Tribolium castaneum: one gene and its partners. The protein of the gene in region 3 interacts with the protein of the main gene of each other region in a pairwise test. Links are inferred from orthologs where the notes say so. Each region holds a gene or a part of one and is shown on either strand. Other genes may lie near its edges.

Region 1 (3,661 bases), on a different chromosome or scaffold from region 3:
TCACCCTAAATAAACAAAAAATTAGAAAATTCTGAGACAGGTTAATTTTTATTTTCAGGGAGACATCTTTAAGTGTACTTTTGAAAGTTGTAACATCAACCTCCTTTGTAATACAAACAACCCCTTTAAAATTTTAAATGGCATGACCCCCTTTTAAATGAAAGGTATTTCGACCAGAAATTCGACTGTGTGTTTTTTTTTGAGTTTCAATAATTTTTTATAAATTTACATGGTACTTAATTACCTGATAATCCACTGTTCAAAAATGCTTCTTTATCAAAAAGTCGACTATGGAATTTAAATTCAATGTGCCGGTGTTGTAAACGCTGTCAAATTTTTGATTAGTTGTTTCCTCATTTTTATGTATTTCTCGGCAATGTTGTTTCAATTGTGGGCTTTATCTTGATTTGTGTTTTACATTCTCGTGTTTACTTTCTTTGAAGCCTTTTTCCATCGCTTCTGACAAAAATCACAATTCCGATTTAGCGGCATATTACGTTTAAAATTCATAAGTAACTTTTACAATAATTTGTTCTGCTATATCTTGTTCTGTATAATGTAAATAAAAATACTGAAAACTCTAAAAAAATTACACGGCCGAAATCCTGGCCAAAATACCTTCACCTAAGGTGTCACAAAGGGGGTGATGCCATTTAAAATTTTAAAGGGTTTGATTGTATCACAAAGGGGGTTGGTGCTACAACCTTTAAAAATTCACTAAAAATTGACCTGTTTTGGGATTTTTGAATTTTCTGCTTAATTTCTGATATATTCATGGAGGCTCGTTTTTAAAAAATGACCCTATATTTTAACGAAGACATAACTTCAACTGAAGTACCAAAAACCGGGCCAACGAAATAAGTGGAATTTTTATTAAATTTTCGGAACAAATCAATCGAACAAAAATCAAAGAAGAGCTCTTGTGTTGAATTTACATTCGTTTTATTTATTGTTCTTTGTTTTATTATTCATTAGTATTACATATTATGTTTTCACTAGGATAACGTATACAGCTGTAAAGTTGTTAGGTTGGTAAGCCGTGCTTTTAGTGTACCTTTTGGTAGTACTAATAGTACTAATTCATTTTTTAAATTTGACACTTGGCACAAGCGCAGTATGGAACTGAACTAAACTGGATATTTTTTATTAAAAGAAAGTATTATTAGTCTCGATACTCTGTTTCTGGACTAGTATCAGAACTTCACAAATTTAATTTAAGTGAATAATTAACAGATTTTAAAAACTTTCAAAGCTAACTTATTTACACTATTTACTTTCGTTGTTAAGAATATCGTTTACTCAAAAATCACATACTTTCTGCTTCATGTAGCTTTTAATTTGAACTAAAATGACCTTGAAACGATATATTTCGCTCTGTAAAGGGTTAAACTAAGATATCTAAGTGAGATACAAACGAAAATGCAAAAAATGTAACTTGAAAAAGATGCCAAATTTTATAACATTTGTTAAATGGTTCCGAAGTTATGTAGTAAAAACGAATTTTTTACATCTAATTGTGAGAGCTGTAAAGTTCATATCATTACGTAGAGTTAAAACACAATATTTAATATCAAATTAATACCAGAAAAGGTATTTAGGATGAGGAAAGTTTCACTCGATCTAGATTCTTAACATTAACATTATATTCCATATCGAGCGCGATTATTATTGAACACAACTACATCGGTCCGATGATTAAATTACTTTATAAATGAAATCCTTTCCTAAAACTGGTTGTTGTCACAAATCAAATTCTGGCTGGGTGTCCTCCGCCTACATACTTTTTTTTCTTTGTTGTTTGGACCCCGCATGGACCAGCTTAAGGAAAAAACGCAAAATTCAAGCTCTTCACTTATTACATTGTTTAAATAAGTTTAGATCCAATTTTGTGCGTTACCTTTGGCATGTTTGATATTATGCAGCAAAGAATGCCACTGATGCAACACTTGCGCCAAGTGGTCCAACCCTCCGTGATGGAAGTGCAAAATTTTGTATTGCGATTCCCTCGAAGCCACAACAAGTTGTCCACACGTGCAATTTGCATCGTTGAAAAACAGTCTCAGTGACCTCATTTGGCTCAAATCAACACTGAACCTCCTGCATTTATGTAGCTGTTTTGTTGGTAAAATTGGCGAACAGTTGTTGCTTTCGGGGAACATCAAATTATGCTTTTGGGCGAGAAATTCCGGTGTTGTGATCCAATTCAATTGGCTGTCGTTTGAAGTAACACTGCCGGAGCGGGAAAATTCGAATTTTTCGCCGGAATCTTTGACGCTGTCTGGAGTTGTAACGATTTCTATGTCGGGATTTGCGATGTCGACGTTGATGTTGATGATAGTGCCTTGCTTGTCACTGTCTTCGGAACTGAGGGAATCGGTGGTGTCGTAGTTTAGGAACGGGTTCGTGCTTTTGAGTTCGATACTTGCTGGACGTTCTGCAAATAACATTTTTTATTTATTACTTGGTTGAGAAGTTGGACCCACTATTTTTCACAGTCGAAGGCTCTGCAAAAATCGTGGAAATTTATGGTTGGAATGTAGTTGTCCCAACCAACAGCATTTGATATTTACCAGGATTTTCAAAATAAAATGCAATAAAAATGTTGTTTATTTATTTCTTTTTACAACAAACAAATAAGTTGATAGAACTAGATTAAGGAGCGGTTTATAGAAGCTTCATTAATTTAATCTGCAATTAAATGCAATTAAATGAATCCATTGGGTTGCTTCATTCGCGTTGTTAACACTTAACATCCCAATTAACTTTAATTGAGCTTTCTATAAACCGGCCCTTAGTGTTGTCAATTTAGTGATTTTTTCTTAATTTGGGTGAATTCTTAGAATATTTGGAGAACCTTTAGACTCTTTTAATATTATCCAAAAACGTGGTAAAGAGCATGTCAGGCATTTTTAAAGAATATTGTTTCAAATATTTTGGTGATAATTCTAAAGATACATTGGGACAAATTCGTTTATAGAATTATGATGATGGATTTATAAAATAATCTAAAGAAAAGGATGGAAGCTGGATTTTAGATCTACAGACGGTTTAAAAAAAAGAATTAAAGAAAAAATTTGAAGGACGTACCATCAAAAACAATGCTAAGAAGGGTGTTTACGAGTAAATTTAAACGTTCGAGAAAATACCAAATTAGTTAAAAAATTTCGTATGATGTTTACCTTTTTCGAAAGTTAAAGCACGTTTTTGAGCTAAAAAAATTGTTATTTGGGGCGTTTCACGCGAAGCGGACAACAAAAAAATTGACATCTTTAAATTCGGTTATATTCAGGATTTTTTTGTATGACACTTATTTGTGAAGATAATGACTTCTAAAAATTTAACAAAATATGAGACACAGAGTTTTTGGAAGCTTTTATTCAAAAAACTGATGCAGACCAAAATATTTAAAATAGTGTTTCATATTTGATTTTGAAACCTAATTTAGAATTTGAAATTTTTTTCGCGAAGAAAACCGGAAGTGAAGTTTCAAATCCGAATTTTAGTAATTTGGACCATTTTTTAAATTTATTTTTATTTCAAAAAATAGCTTAGAATATCTAGATTTTACACTATAAGTCGCAAAATGGGATCTCTATTCCTTTAGGAGATACAGTACTTAATGTACGTGATCGGCCGGCTTACGCAAGAAATTACGTGTTTT
Region 2 (2,952 bases), on a different chromosome or scaffold from region 3:
TTTAATATATTTATTGTGTCTTATTTTTGTTTTTTTTTACTTTTTTTGAATTCGTAGATAATATTTACTTACAAGAAAGATAAAAGAGAATATTATCAAAAACGCCAACATCGCATTTTCTCTCAAAATTAGTTGTTAAAAATTATTTATGTTCTTCAAAAAATTAGTAGCTAATGTAATTTATACTTTCAATGAGAGATCAAACCATTAATAAGTATTTTACATTTTTATCAACCTTATGTAAACTTAAATAGTGAAACAGCTACTACTTATTTATTATACAAGACGATAATAGTATATTATGATACGAGTTTTATAAGACGCAATTTGTCGCACGCAGAGATAATGGAGTAAGTGCGACAAAATGCCTTATAAACGAGATATCATACAGTATTTTTTCTACTTTGCACCTTTTTTACCAAAAAAATTAATTTCGAAATTTAGGGAATTTTGTGGCAGTTTTGCAACGTACCCCTTAACAAATACGGGCTTTTGTGGCAAATACATGAAATTTGAAAATTGGCCTAAGGATAATAAGATCTTACTTACTTGCACTGGCTTTTGAAGTTATGTTTGTACATTACTCGAAAGGGGTTTGAAGAGGCTACATATTAGGGATGGTACAAGGGCCTCTAAAGATTCGTATTTGATTCATTTGATTAAATTATGCACTTAAAACAGGTACCGATTGACAATGACAATTCTATCAGATAATTGTCAAAAAACTAGGTTGTCAACATTATCTAACTAAATTACCCTGGTTTTTAGTGTAATTATTATAGCACTCCGTTGGATATTATGATCTTTTTATTATGACATCTTTTTTAAATTTTATGTAAATTTAAAAACTTTATTAATAAATTAAAGACATTTTATTTGTTGGGCTCTGCTACCTGTTAAAATTAAGACTCGTATTTCTGATATACCCTATAATAGGTGTAAGTGTGCGAAAATGTTTATAATGCGAGAAAACGTTTTTGTTTTTTTTTTGGTCGAGACCAAAGGACAATAAAAATAAAAAACAACTTACACTTTGACATCCTGGTGTTGCAGATTCGTATATTTTTTGCGCATACTCCACAGCTTTGGCAACATCGCCCAAAGCTCGAACATAAATCGCCAAAGACTGTTCGTGTTTTCCCAAACGTCCCAAAATTATCGCCCTCTCTTCTAACAAACTATCAGTCGGGAAATGTCCAAGGACAGTGTCGGCAGTATAGTGTGAACTTTTTTTCAAAAACTCGAGCAATTTTTTACGAGTGTGTTCGGCTGCAGCGCCCTCACTTATCGCCTTTTCGCGATACTGATGCACTAAAGCGTTGTGAAAAAGTGGATTCGTGTCCTCCCAAACATGCACCACGTGCTCAAGATACGGAATAACTACACACGTGTGTGAACGGAGGAGGAAGTCGAGGACGCGAGGTCGAGGCAGTGCCTCAACTTCGGCCAAGTCTTCCGTAAAAATCTGAAATTGCACAAGAAATAAACAAATTGCCCCCCAAACTTTAATACAATTGCGTGTAAATAATAATTACGCGTGAAGTTACAAAAATAATTAAATTAAAAACAATGGACACAAAGGTCAGTTCATTGGACCTGGTCAGGATTATACTGCACATAAATAAATTATCAATAACTTATTTTTTATTTTTGGATTTGTATCTAATCTTTCAAACATCGGATATTTAAGATTCAAATTACTAGTGCAACGAGTTTTGTTTAAATCGTCTATTGACAATGTTCTTTTCTTTACTGTTCTGATGTTCCTATAAAAACACAGGAACATTCATATTAAGGTAGTTGGTGCCTAAATTCATTTTCTTAAGACTTTTTTAAATTTTAATACATTATTGTTCAAAGAATCCCGCATCGAATGTTCCGAAAATAAAACTGATCGACCGTCTAGTTTTAGTTTTAGTTTAGTTTTCATTAGAGAGTTTTAACGGGTCCTCCGTTATTCGCTCGTTATGAAAGAAACAAACTTTTAACGTTCACGTGAAATTTATTGAAAAGACGTATTACGTCTTTTCGTCTTACTTGTCGTATATATTATATGTGAAATGTTATGAAAATTGTGACAAATTTGTAAACTTCGTCTTTGGTGCAATAAAGACGAGTTAACACTTTTAAGAGCAGTTCTTGATTAGAATCTGTAAGAAATTACAATCAGAAGTAAAGTATTCGTCAAATCATTTTGATGTAAAAGGCTCCACGTTTTGCCAATAATTTAATTTAAAAACGTACGATAAAGAATCTAAGACGTTCACGTTTAACGTATCACTCAAAACGTTTCGCTAAAACTCTTCTGGTATAAAAACCCTCCTTAAGATTTTCATAAAACACTAAATCAACATTCAGCAACATCTAATAAGTATTTTAGGAAAAAAAAACTGGGGGTCACCGTTTAAATTTTGGTGCTATTAATTATAATTAATACAAGGTGTCCGTTTTTCGAGCTCCAGTTATTATAAGATATACGAGGTCGGTTAAATTAGGGAAAGTTGCGCATTTTTATGCTGAACAATTATCTGAAAGAAAATTTAATGTGTCACTTTTAGTTTTTCAATTATTGAGAAAAATAAAAAAAATCTTATTTTTGTTTTTATTTTTTTATACAAGAATCAAACAAGATAGATGTTTTTAAGTAGGACATTCCTCGGGCACTTTTTTACAAGAAATTGTAATTGTCATTGCCTTTTCCATGGCATTCTTGATGGCAGAGTTACAACACTCAACTTTGATTTTTCTTATTGACGCCATATTTGACATTTGTTTATTTAAAAACTCTTTCTGTTCCTGATTACAATGATGTGACATGATATAATCAAATCTTGTATGCGGATTAAAATTAAGAAAAAAGCGTTTTTCCGAAAAGTACTATGGAAGAAACGTCAAAAATGTAGTATAAGGATACATCACAGGATACACTAAAATAGAACTGGCAACACAAAG
Region 3 (3,779 bases):
ATGGCATGCACCATGGGCACGGAAGCCGCCACACTGACGTCGTTTTTCCTCAAATCCGTGCCGCATTCTGCGCACATGTCGTTCATCACCGTCGGATGCGTGCATTCTTTCAATTCGCACAAAGTCTCGCTGAAAATTCGAGCGTGAGCTTTCGCGCGCCTTTTCAAAACTGTTGCTTACCCTGGCTTGACAATGGCGCCTTCCTGCGCCACAATCTTAAAAATTGTTCCGGCCTGTGTTACCTTCAACTTGCGTTGTTCCACCTTGGAAGCCCCGTCAAAATCATACAGAAGGATTACTCTTCCGATCGAGACAGTGTTCCCTTCGCTCACTTTCCATTTTAAAATTTTTATAGGTTTTGTTTGTTGCTGTGATATGCACATAGTTTTTTCCGCCATCTTGCACGGAAACGACTTCACTCATGAACGCAGAACGCGGCCTGATTGGACGACGCGTGCACTTCCGGGTGCCATTACTCACGCGCCCGTTTCAAATTTTGGGTAAAACAAACACAAACTGGCAATACAACTTATATTTGATTATATTACATGAAGCTTACATAAAAAATTTGACGTTTTACAATACAAATTTATTTAATGAGATAAACACTACATTTCTTAATTAAGTATAATAGTCGCAATAAAACACATAACACTATTATCACCAATAACAAAAATAAAGTTGGTTTAAAGTAAGATGTAATGCTTCTGAAACGGCTTTTCGGTTGGTACTCTATAAAATATGAACTCAAAACAATAAATATGTGACCTGTATTGGACTAACTATACCACACTCTTAAAATAATCACAATAATAATCCTTTCATTACATAAATTAGTGGGGGCCAATATCACCATATGTATCAAAATATTTGAAAAGTTTTGTCTCTAAAGGTTGTTGAACGATGGGGTAAAGTGCAACTTGCTAATTTGGAAGATATCAGATCATTAATTTATGTAATAAACCTGTGCAGTCACTTTCAATTCTTTAATAAGGGTTTCTCTCTTACACATAATGTAACCCTCAAGACAGACAAGTCATCTTAACAGCAACTCGAACCCTGCGAACCCCCGGCGCCGCCTGCACCAGGAAGCGATGGATTTGTGGGGGAATGTTGGGGGCCAATCTTGATTCCATTTGCCTGCACAATTTCAACAACAAAATTTAAAACACAATAGTTGTGAATTTGAGTTGGCAGCACTATACGTGTGACGTCTCAAGCTGCCAACTTAATTTCAAAGTCAGAAGAAAGTATCACCAAAAATGGGGTAATGAACTTGCTAATGTATAAAATTATTGATTTCTAAAGTTTGTGTAACCTTTAGAAAATGCCAATTAGCTTAACAGAGCAGAACCGCTGATTTACCTCATTGTTAATGTCAAAGACTCCCTCTTGTATTTTCTCATAGATCTCTTTTGCTGTGTTTATAAACGCTTCTTCAACGTTGGCGGCCGTTTTTGCTGAAGTTTCCATAAAGACTAGTCCGTGTTCTCTGGCAAAAGCTTCTCCTTCTTCCTTTTTCACTTCTCTCCTACTCTCTAGATCACTGGAAGGGTTTAGTTAACACTTTTGAAAAAAAAAAAAATAAAACGGGATGAACACCTTTTGTTTCCAATCAACATGATGACCATATTTGAGTTGGAATGCTGGCGGGCATCATCAAGCCATGTAGTCAAATGGTTGAAAGTCTCCCTCCTCGTAATGTCATAAACTAAAAGAGCGCCAGCAGCCCCCCGATAGTACGACCGCGTTATAGATCTAAAAGCCTCCTGTCCGGCAGTGTCCCAAATTTGTAATTTGATTTGTTTGCCATCAATGGTGATCATTCGAGCGCCAAACTCCACCCCGATTGTCAAATCATGAACTGGCTGGAACCTCTTGTCCGTGAACTGTAGTAACAGGCAAGACTTGCCCACACCTGTAACCCCATTGTTTACTTTACGTCCGATAAGCATATCAAGCTGATTTTAATGAATGCCAAACACACTCCACCTCCCCCAATCAGAATCCCGGACAAGTTTAAAACACAAAGACAGACCTTGACACCCATCCAAGATGAATAATACAAACGAGTTATACGCAAAATACAAGAAAATTAAACGAATCGATTATGATTTTTTACGGGAATTACCCGAAGCAACACCCACCTGTGTCACCTATTATAATGTACTTGAACAGATACGCGTACGACATTTTCACCACACGAAACTATAAACTAACAACTTGCTCTAATTACTTCACGGCTTATCACCGAATTTATCAACTTCGTAAAAAGATGACAGCTGTCTGCTGAATGCATAGAATATAGTAGTTATAGAAAATCAAGTAACACGTAATTCACTGGTCGTCAAAATTTCGATAATAGCGCCATATCTTGGTAGTATGAGGAACTAAAATTGGCGGCAAATTTAAATATTTTATTATTTACACAATTAATTTAATTTTTTTATTTTTTTACAATTTAAACACACATAACCGATTTTATTGAAAATCAGTTAAATGTGTTTAATTGCAAAATTTTGTTAGTATTATAAATATAAAGAAAAAATAAATACAATGAATGAAAATAATTTATTAATAAATTAACGTTTCACAAATTATGAAAATATCAATTATAAGAAATAAATGTCGTGTTTGGCTTCCACATATTAATTTGGCGACTTCCTCACCCTCAAAAAACGGTTATTTAACATTATTTTGTAACTTGGAAAAAAATTAAAGAACTAAATAAGTAAATACGGACCCTAATAAGGTACTATTGGAGTTTTAGACATGTGCCCAATTCAATTTTCACAGAAAAATAGTGCTTTTAATAGTTTGTGCAAACATTTCTTGTATGTTTTCGTGTTGGTAGTAGGCTCACGTAGATGACTTTACAACAAATTTACTTATATGAACTTATTATGCGTAAGAGGTTTTTCTGATTTTAATGTAAGGACTCCACTTTGGTGGATTCAGGAGTTCTAAGTTTCCTTGAAACTTAACGGGAAAAAGGAGGGAGTTAAGATACGTTTTTGTGGCTTTTGTACAAATGAATGAATGAACGCGTGTATTAAATAAAAGACACTATGTGCAAGGTAGAAGTCTTAAACGGTGTCCATCATAGATGTCCACTTGAAAAATGAAATTTGGTTTAAATTCTCGAAGTTATTTTTGGTGCCCAAGTCGATTTGTTTCTGGATAGCTTTCACAAGTAGAGAGATGCACTGTTTCGAGAATCATGTGTTCCAGCCAGCCAAAAGTTGTTTAATAAACGTTGTAGGTTGCCTTTTAAATGTATAATAGGTCCACACCAGAGCTGGAGATATGTATTACATAGTATTTTTGGTGGCAAAAAAATCCCGACTTACCAAATTTTAGCCTTCGAAAGTTCAAAACTTAAATGTTTTTGAGATTACTTTAGGAGTAGATAACACCAACAAACGAATCCAAATAAAAATAAAGAGAGAAAACCACGAACACAACACGTAGCAAAATAATTCAAATTGGAAATTGAAACATTTAATTGAAAAAACTTTTTGACACCGTTGAATGTAGTGTGACATTGCGCACCAAAGGTTGCTTAATATTTTGGATTTTTGGATAAATTCGTGGATTTAACTTGAAATCACACTACCAAAAGATGGCATGAGTAGTTTCTATTAACGACCGTGCCACGTACTCTAAATTTACAGAAATCTGCATAGATAACGCACGTGGCGCCGCATGTTGATAGTATGATTTAATAAACCGTTTTTCCTATGCCGCTTGACTAACCCTGGCTGAATGTCATTCCCTGA

Evidence for each region.
Region 1: the proteins of Rab2 (region 3) and TBC1D16 interact in a two-hybrid assay, tested with the Drosophila melanogaster proteins (2 studies listed by BioGRID). The link is inferred for Tribolium castaneum from reciprocal best matches to the Drosophila melanogaster genes Rab2 and TBC1D16.
Region 2: the proteins of Rab2 (region 3) and Vps39 interact in a two-hybrid assay, tested with the Drosophila melanogaster proteins (2 studies listed by BioGRID). The link is inferred for Tribolium castaneum from reciprocal best matches to the Drosophila melanogaster genes Rab2 and Vps39.

Annotation. Positions count from the first base shown.
Region 1 is NC_087399.1:11,383,258-11,386,918, forward strand, and holds part of TBC1D16 (TBC1 domain family member 16), read right to left. Parts: intron 2,435-3,661; coding exon 1,898-2,434; intron 1-1,897.
Region 2 is NC_087402.1:12,345,359-12,348,310, forward strand, and holds part of Vps39 (vam6/Vps39-like protein), read right to left. Parts: intron 1,466-2,952; coding exon 1,031-1,465; intron 1-1,030. UniProt on the Drosophila melanogaster protein: Part of the homotypic fusion and vacuole protein sorting (HOPS) tethering complex involved in endo-lysosomal vesicle trafficking and lysosome biogenesis.
Region 3 is NC_087396.1:10,630,750-10,634,528, reverse strand, and holds Rab2 (ras-related protein Rab-2), read right to left. Parts: upstream 2,314-3,779; 5' UTR 2,194-2,313; coding exon 2,148-2,193; intron 1,919-2,147; coding exon 1,603-1,918; intron 1,547-1,602; coding exon 1,366-1,546; intron 1,141-1,365; coding exon 1,042-1,140; 3' UTR 518-1,041; downstream 1-517. Other genes in the region: Fcp1 (RNA polymerase II subunit A C-terminal domain phosphatase), read right to left, coding at 1-129, 181-398. UniProt on the Drosophila melanogaster protein: May be involved in bidirectional endoplasmic reticulum (ER) to Golgi trafficking. Together with Rab7 involved in promoting fusion of autophagosomes and endosomes with lysosomes, probably through recruitment of the HOPS tethering complex.